2 linked regions of the Mus musculus genome follow. The protein of the gene in region 2 interacts with the protein of the main gene of each other region in a pairwise test. Links are inferred from orthologs where the notes say so. Each region holds a gene or a part of one and is shown on either strand. Other genes may lie near its edges.

The links.
Region 1: the proteins of Zc3h10 (region 2) and Nfya interact in binary tests that used the Homo sapiens proteins (3 or more experiments, as listed by UniProt). The two-hybrid records come from large-scale screens. The link is inferred for Mus musculus from reciprocal best matches to the Homo sapiens genes ZC3H10 and NFYA.

The regions. Positions count from the first base shown.
Region 1 is NC_000083.6:48,406,879-48,411,324, forward strand, and holds the start of Nfya (nuclear transcription factor Y subunit alpha), read right to left. Parts: upstream 2,943-4,446; 5' UTR 2,748-2,942; intron 1-2,747. Other genes in the region: ADP-ribose glycohydrolase OARD1, read left to right, coding at 3,988-4,026, 4,386-4,446. UniProt on the Homo sapiens protein: Component of the sequence-specific heterotrimeric transcription factor (NF-Y) which specifically recognizes a 5'-CCAAT-3' box motif found in the promoters of its target genes.
Region 2 is NC_000076.6:128,544,915-128,549,495, forward strand, and holds the start of Zc3h10 (zinc finger CCCH domain-containing protein 10), read right to left. Parts: upstream 2,833-4,581; 5' UTR 2,780-2,832; exon of another isoform or gene 2,257-2,779; intron 1,978-2,256; 5' UTR 1,914-1,977; intron 625-1,913; 5' UTR 573-624; coding exon 1-572. Other genes in the region: Rpl41 (60S ribosomal protein L41), read right to left, coding at 3,473-3,515, 3,744-3,766, 4,035-4,046. UniProt on the Homo sapiens protein: Specific regulator of miRNA biogenesis. Binds, via the C3H1-type zinc finger domains, to the binding motif 5'-GCAGCGC-3' on microRNA pri-MIR143 and negatively regulates the processing to mature microRNA.

The sequences.
Region 1 (4,446 bases), on a different chromosome or scaffold from region 2:
AATAGATGAGCTAGCTCTACGACCATTTTGGGGATGACCAAAGTTCTCACCCTTTTTTTCAAGTGGGACTGTACAGGTGTGGAGAGCTTTAAAAACTCACCAAAATACAGATATACAAGGATTAGATTTTAAAGTTTTTTTTTTTAAGATATTAACAACCTCTGTATTTTACCGCTTCCACTAGCCCCAAGACGCTTTCCTATAAAACTTTCTTCTTGGCTAAATGTCCTAAGTCTGCATCGTCTCAGATTAAATGCAGAATGGAGCCTGAAGTGGGCAAGAGGGCTGGAATAGCTGTAAGGAACATTTGGAGTTGACTCAGTTATCTTGCTGATACAAATGCTCCACTCTTAGGCCATTGAAACCTACTGGGCTTTGGAGGCAGCTTCAAACCCAGCAGCCATTCTGCATTGATAAGGGAGTGGTGGCGCTTGGAGCACAACCCTCAGGTTGCCCATGGTGCCGACTTCTTGGCTCCAGTGCGGCCATATGCTCCTTCCTCCATCAACTCAGCCAGCAGAACTGTGACACAACCTGACACACTTCCTTTCCTTACGCTTTCTGTGCCCAAGTTTATGACAGAATTGAGCCAGCTGGATTTAGTCTGTCTAGCTCTTCTACAGACTTGTGAATGTGTTTTTGAAAGTGAGAATATGAATGAATAGGAATGAGAATGGGTTTATTCTGGCCTCTGAGACATTCTCTTCCATAGCATTTCCTGCCCATTTACATGGCACAGAAGTAGCTGGCCAGCACTTAGAATCTTCAAAAGCTGAAATGCCCAGAAATGCTCCTACAATAAGCATCTGATCACCGCAGTCCATCTGACCTGGCATCACACACACACACCCAGCTAGGGCCTTTGAAGGCTCCAGTGTGCTCCTTGTCTCCACTAAGGAGATAGCATGAACTAAATAACAAAACAAGTTAACTTCAAAGAGGCTTTTAAGTCTAAAAAGGAACAAAAATGTGTATTAGACTCCTAAAGGGAAATACAGTAAATGGAGTTTGGGGGACAGAGGCTTTTCCACTGGGGACAAACCAAGGAAAGCACTGGGAAAGGGTGTCATGTGAGTTAGGTTTAAGTCTGAGATCTCACCCAGATGAAGGTAGTATAGGGTGAAGTATTTCAAACAAAGGGAGATGCCTGGGCTGTGATTAGATTAGAGAAATCGAGAGTCTGCACTACTTTTTCTTAAAGTGCAGATGCAGAGGAACCAGTGGAGGCTCCACAGGTCTGAGTCACAGTGACTGAGGAGAACTGCCTTTTGTCCACAAAAACATTTGGCAGTTTTGAGGTGGACATATGCATCCATTTTTTTTTTTTAAATACCAATCAAAGTTAGAACACCCAGTCCAAATACAAGACTATGGGGTAGAATCCTCAGGTCAGCAACCTTCACCCCCAAGGTTAGGGGAGAAATCCACTCTAGATTAACTTTTAACCTCCAGTCAAAACCGTTTTCAAAAAATTCCTTTGTAAGACCTGCAAAGGTTTTTACCAACTGGACTTTCCCGCCTAAACTCAGTACTCCCGGCCTTTCTGCGTCCAACCGCACTATCTGTTCCAGTTACTCTTTTCAGTCTTTCCTCTCTGAGGACATCACCCTCCATCACCAATCAAAAGCGTGGCGCTGAAAATAGGCTTCCTCATGTAAAGTGCACTTCTGGGTACTGGATCAGATCCCTATGAAACACTAACACCAGTCAATCTCCACCGAGCAGACATAGCTCCTAGCCCTACTCGCTTGCAGCACTTGGGTGACGTCCGCCAAAGACTAATAGCTAGCAGTCCTTGGAAGACTTCCTGTCCCCCGAAGGGGGAAAGAAAATCTAAGCACGTGTAAGTTTTAAAACATCAGTTGAGAAAACGTTCGCGCGGGATTTCAAGGTGTATTAGAAAAAAGAGACACGAGTGGGCCGAGCTATTGAGTGGAGAGATTAAAGGAAAACAAAACCAGAGAGCATCCAAGGGAGAAAAGATCAAGGGAGGAGACAGGGATAATAGGAACTGCGAGATGTGTGCCCCCAATCATTAAGGATGCACAAGGGTTATCAGTTCTGCAACAGCGGCGTTTCAAACACCGAGACACTGAGCAAAAAGAGGAAGAGTGCTTGGTTGGGCTCCAGCACGGAGGTGTGCCGGCACCGCGGGCTGAGCGGGGAGGAAATGACGAGCCAGAAAGGGGTGGTAACGGCGCCGGCCCGGGAGCCCCGGTGGCGGGCCGAGAGGAGGGGCGCGGCAGGCGCGCCAACGGCCCCGGGGTGGGTCTTGGGAGGCCGCGCCGCGCGTCTCAGTCTGGCCTCGCTCCGGATCTGTAGCCCCAACTGTGCAGAGCTCAGGACACACGGGCCTCGTCGGGGCCCGGAATGTGGGGACACACAAGGACAGGCCGTAGGATGAGGCTGGAACGACGTGGGGAAACCGCCACGGTCCGTGGCTGGGCGGTCAGCCACCTGACCTCTCGGGACCGAGGATCGGGGACCGGTGGCGCATCCGCCACCGGCCCCCGGAGACGATCCAGATCCCGAAAAGCCTGGCTCCAGGACGCCGTCCCAACGCTGGACGGCCCCTGCAGGCCTCCACCAACTCCGAGCCGGGGCTACTGGCTACCCAGCTCGGGCAGCCTCGGCTCGACTCCCGGGCTCGACGGACGCCTGGGCCTCTCCTGAGTGGTCAGCGAGACCCGCCAATCGGGGCGCTGGGGCCGGCTCTGGGCCGCTGGATATTGGCTCCTCATACTCACCGTGCCTCGCTCCCCCGGTTCGCTGCCCGCGCTGATTGGCTCCAGTACCGGACCCCGAAACCCAATCAGAGGCTCCAGCCGCCGCTGCCGCCGCCACTGCCGCTGCCTCGCAAAATGGCGAATCTGAACAAAGGGGAATCGGGCCTCCCTCCAACCGCCTTCGCGCAAGCGCCTTCGAGACCACGCCCCATAACCCCGGCCAGCCTGGCCCCGCCCCCTAGGAAGAGCACCGCGCAGGCGTTCCAGAGGCCACACCCACTTCCTGGATTTGACACCGCCTCCCGCCAAAGGCCTACGCAGGCGCCTTTCACACGCTCCGTACGCTGCTGCTTAAACACCTCCCTGAATTATATACCACGCAGGCGCTGACACGCCCCCCTGCCCACCTATTTCTAAGCGTCCACTGGGACCCACCCTCTGGGGCCGAATGCGCAAGCGCTCTTCTTCTCCAGTCGGGGTCGGCATCTCGGTACGCATGCCTGAGCGGTAGCGGGAGCCTACGGAATTTCCCGCCGGAAATTCTGAAGCCCTTACTACCGAGAGCGGGCGCCGCTACCCAGCTAGAGAGGCTCACTTCCGCCCCGTTAAGGGATGGGGGCGGCCATCTTGAGTGTGCGTACAATCAAAAGGCTTTGGCGGGATTTGTTGCGTGTCGGGACTCTTCTGTTGCTTTCCTACCTACGAGGGTTTCATCCCGAACCCTTCCCTGCTTGGAGGAGGGCCTGCTGACGGCCGATTCCTTTGCAGGTGAAGGATGACCCCCCAGTACCCACTTTTCTGCGGGATCCCAGGGTTGCCCTCCTTAGGGTAGGAGGAGAGACGGGGAAGTCTTATCAGACCTTCCTTCCTGTACCTCCAAGACTGGTGGTGATCTTCCCCTGAGAAGCAGTTCTCGGCTCACCCTGCCGCTCAGTGTAACTGTGGCCAGGTCTTTCCCGTTCTAAGCTATATTCTCTGGGAAAATTCTGGACTGTCCTAAACCTTCCCTGCTAGAAGTAAGGAGGTGTGTCTTAGGACCGCCTTTGCTTCGGCTCCTGGAAAGCTGTTTTGTGTTGCCTCTTAGAGGCTGAGTGAGCTCACATCCAGAAAGAATACCTTAAGGAGGTGGGGAAGACTAAATGGGTTGTCAGGGTGATCTGAACACGCTATGTTCGGGCTGCCTGAGCGGTATTTTTTTACTTGCTTTTCCTTTTCATTAGCAGAAGGAACTCTTAAATTCTGGAAATAGCGACTCAGTAGCATGGCCACCCGCCTTAATGAAGATCCAGAAGGAAGTCGAGTGCGTAACAGCTATTAAATTTATCGGTGAAGTGAAAATCAGAATAATTGAGGTCAAAAGCATAAACACTTTTTAATTAAACCAATAATTGGATTCTCGCCCCTCCCTGTTTGTTTCTCTCTAGCTGATTTACTTAGAAAAGGCTAATACAACCCTAGGCAGATAATAACCATCCATCACTTTCCTTTTACAGATACTTTAAAATATCGTGGTTAACTCCTAAGTTGGGAAGAGTTGTCTTTAATTCAGAGTGTCAGAGAAGCAGGGTTGAAGCAGTGGGGGTGGGGCTCTGTTGAAGATCTGAAAGGAGAAATAGTTTTCTGTTTTTAACCTTTTTTTTTTTCCTTTGCACGTTTTAGATCACTTACGTGAAAGGAGATCTTTTCGCATGTCCCAAAACAGACTCTCTAGCCCATTGTA
Region 2 (4,581 bases):
TAGAGATCATGACGGCGTCCTGGGGGAGCAGAGCCTGTGGAGCCTCCACCTCCAGTGCCTCCTCCACCGCGAGCATCAAACTCAAAATCCCTTTGCAGGTGACGAAACTTGCACTTGGCTCCTCTCTGACAGTCACCTTTGAGGAAGTCGCGGCAGATGGGGACCTCCTCCTTACCATTGGGTAGGTCGGCGGGTGAGAGACCCAGCCCAGCGGCCACTTTCTGCCTCAGCCGGGGAGGCAGCTCTCCTGTCTTCTTATAGCCATCCTCATCCTCCTTGGAGCCGTGGATGAAACGACAGTTGGGGCGGCTACACTCCTTGTTTTGGAAGTCATGGCAGAAGATAAATTCATTTTTGCTTACCCCCAAATTGGATACCTCACTCATGTCTGGGTGGCGGTATCGACATCGCTTGCCTCGTTTGCAGACGTTCCTCAGGAAGTCTCTACAGATGGCATCTGAGGTGGCTCCCCCGCTGCCTGTCCCTGCCCCACTGGCCTCCTCACTGCCACCACCTCCAGGGCCTCCACCGCTGCTGCCAGTGCCGTTGGCATAGCTGTCCCGGTCAGGCATCCTGGTCCCCCCCAAGTCAGGGTCTTCTTCCTTTTCTTGCCACTCTTGGCGACTGTTAAAAAAGAGAACTGTGTCAGAAAGGGGTCCTCCGGAAAGCTCCCTCTCTCCTGACCATACAGTGGGCAGGCTTCTGGGGCAATGGCTTTGGGAGATGGAGAATCCAAGGAGAATTCTAGCTAGCCCGGCTGACTTGCCAGAAGTCCCGCCCAGGCCCTTATGCACCTGGTCTTGTTTGGAGTGATTCACACTTGCCTGGCTAACACAGGAGGGAGAGAGCTGGGATGAAGCCACTTCATCTTACTAATGATGCTCAGCCAAGGAGGGGGAGGGAAGGGGAGAGTGTTAGATTTTTACCTTCTCTCATTTAAGTTGTGAGGGAGAAACTAAAACAGGTGTTGGTGTGTGAACAGACTGACACTGGAAAGAGTGCTCTAACACGGGCTGCTTAGCTTTGAGAACTCATGGAAGAAGGAACACCAGAAACAGAACTTCCCTTAATCCCTCTTCTACGTAAACTCAGCTCAAGTCTCCATGTATTTTAGAAATCCCTGGTTAAACAAAACAAAACAAAACAAAACTGGTGTCACTAGCTACAGGGTAACCCTGAAACCTGTCCATCTCCCAGTGTGTTCCACACACAAACACCCTCATTTCATGGAAAGACGTTCTGAGCTGAACTTTCTACTTTTAGATCCCCAGGACGAACTGTTCGAAGGACAAGGTGGAAAGGAGTTACTTTCATAGGAACGGTGACCTTTCTTTCCCCATTCCCCACCCCACTCCATGAAAATCCCACTGATATCAAACCATAGCACTCCTTACCCCATAAAAATCCTCTTTATTTATAGACTCTATAAAAGCTTTTTAAGTCTCCTGTTTCTCAAGAGAGCTCTGGAATGTCAGTCCACTGCCCTAATTCTAGCCCTCCCTTCTCTCTAACCCTGGGAGTCTAAGACTGGGAGTCCCTGCTACCACGTGTCTAATCTTTTAAATGTTCCCTGAGTAGGACTCAGGCTCCCCCTACTGTTCAAATAAGAGAAGTTCCTAGTTTCCGTTTGGGAATAAAGATACCTTTCTTGATTTCCCGTTTCCTTGACTTCCTTGACTTTGCTAGAATAACTAACCAGATTAGAAGTCAGAGATGCACAGGAATACACAAGATGGGAAAAGGAGCCCCAGAATATAAGAAACAACTGGTAAGAAACAAGCCCTTAAAAGATCATAAATGACGATCAGGTGAAGACTAAATGCCTTCAAAGCCTGACCAATGTTTCAAGTCCCACTAGAAGCAGATAACTGGATATGATAGCCTTCCTCACCCCAATATCCCAGAATTAATACCTGAGGTAGCTCAGGTGAAGTCCGGGGCTCCCGTGAGTCTCCACCTCCACATCACTGCTGGGTTCTGAACAAGAAACAAAAAAACAAAAAACGGAGATTTGAGTAGAACAAGGGAAAAACGTGAAAGGGATATGATGTGGTTTTCATACACTGGAATGAATTCTGACAAAAAGCTAAGAGCTTTGTGGCTTTTAGGCTCCCTTAAGAGGTCAAAGTGAACGTCACCTATCACAAGGAGAAGTCCCTATTAAGAAGGATAAGGGCTAGAACCGACCAATAAAAATTGGGAAGCTGAACTAAAAAACAAAACAGTTCCTGGTGAGGAAGGTTAGCGGAGCTTTACCTCAAGATGAGAAGGATATGGGGTTCAGAATCCGATCTAGGGTTGGAGTTCGGAACGCCAGCCAAACCTGAAAGCTGGACAAGGGCAACAACTGACTAGTGTCAGTGGGAAGGCGAGACTAGACTCGGGGGCGGTGATTACGACCATCCCCCAACACCCTAGAGTTCACGAAAAGTCCTACGAGTTTCCCTGGAAGTCTTCTGGCTTGGCCGGCTCCGCGATGCGGTGCCAGCACTCAGCGGTGGACCAGGTGACTGGGACACTGAGGAAGTGAAAGGGGAGGGGGGCTCGGGGTGACATCAGGCGGAGGGATGGGCAGGGCTGTGACGTCACGGGGCTGGCGTTTGCTTGGGAAGCGAGGTCAGTGAGAAAAGGGGCTCTGTCCTGGGTAACGAGGAAGAGCCAGGTCGGTTCCGGGGGGTTTGGGGGAGGCTCGTGTGGCCGGGCAGAACCCAGTCGCTGGGCCATCCCCGACTCCTCCCCTCCGGGCGCGGCCTCCACCTAAGTCTCCCGCCTCCCTCACCTGCCGCCGCCGCCGTAGTTGCTGCTGCCGCCTGCCGGTCCTCTAGCTTCGACAAAGAGCCGCCCACCCTACGGTTCTTCCGCTTCCTGCGGAAGAAAGAGACGCTCTAGCTACCAGACCCGGAAACACACTCTATGGTCCAACTTGCGTGCTAGTAGGCGCAGGAAGCTCCCAACAAGCCTTGCGCATCACCATGGTAACAGGACTCCGCCGGACCCGGAACTCCGCTCAGCGTCAGGTTCTACGCAGTGGTACCCCCAAAACGTAGGAGTGGCGCTGTGAACGCACCAACTCTGTAACTTAACCTCGGGCGCACACTCAACCGGCTCCAGCCAGATCAAACACCCAAACTATGTCGCCTATACAGAAACACACTCGAGTCCCCACCCCAAGGAACCGCAAAAAAACACGTAACAGCAGTTTGATTCTTCAGCTGACTGCAAGAGGGTTTATTGTACACGAGCTACACTTGGCCACAAGAGAACAGAGCTAGTCCAGAGTGCCGGGGGTCCAGGGCAGAGGGACTGTTTTGGTTGTAAGAAAGGCGGTCATTTCTCCAGGCGATCGCGGCGAGGTGACGTTCCAGGTCTACTGAGACTCATTACCGATGGCAGCACACAGTCCGATAGCTTGTCCCGGCCCTCAGCATCCCTCACTTCTGCTCCTGCAGGCGTCGTAGGTGCACGGGCTGGCTTACTTGGACCTCTGCCTCATCTTTCTTCTCTTGCGCTTCAGCCTGGAATGGAAGGCACACAAACCTGAGTTTTTTTTTTTTCCTTTGCACATCTATCAATACGTACACTTAGTGCACGAGTACAAGAGACGATGAGATTAACAAGCACCAGCTCTGCTGTACTGGGCGGCGACTCCTGCTTCCTTCCCGCCAGATATTTTCTTCCAACCAAATATCCCACACCGAGCTTGCCCCCACTGCCCCAAGGTAGTCTTGAAAAATTAAACGTACCTGCGCATTCTCTTCTTCCGCCACTAAAAAAACCCGATCATGTGAGGAGACAAAAAAGAATGTTAGAGACAGGCTTGTGCAAGGCCATGAAACTGCTCAGAACACAGGGCTTGACAAAGGACACCGGTTCAGTTTTAGAGCCGAATCCCTCATTTTCCCACCCCATCTTTTCTTCAGCAAGAATTTTAAGCCTCTCCCTGACTGCGAACACCCGAGGCAAACCGTCTGGAAGCCCGCAGAGGAACCATGGCGGGGACTAGGTGCCCGATTCACCACCTAAGAGCCGCTCACCTTCGCTCTCATGGCGCAGGAGTCTCTAGAGAGAAAGAGGGAAAAATGCCGTTAGCCCGCTGTGATGATAGTGAATGTGGAGGTCGGATGTTAACGGATTGCACTGGAAACCCGAACGCCAGAAAACCCCGCGACTAACCAAGGAAGATGGCGCTAAGACCGAGAGGGCGGAGAGGGAGGCCTACTGCTATTTAATGGCGTGCTCGGTGTCGTCACTTCCGAGCCGGCCCGTGTGTCGTCCCTTAGGGCGGGGCTGCTCGAGACAGCGACTTCCGGCTGCCTTACTAGAGTGCGTGTTATCAAGCCCCACCTTTCCGTCTATTTTAAGGATATTGTATTATTTCAACACCAGCACCTGTTTCCAGTATGGGACTGAGAAAAAATAGGCGGGGAAAAAAAAAAAAAAACCACTCCGTCTTCTCCCTCGTTGCTTCATGGGAGTTGTAGTTTCTTGGTAAACACTTCCATTTACTACTATTAATAGGTGTGGCTTGTAGTAAAAATTACTAGTTTTGCCCTGGCTTGATGACGCACGCCTTTATTACCA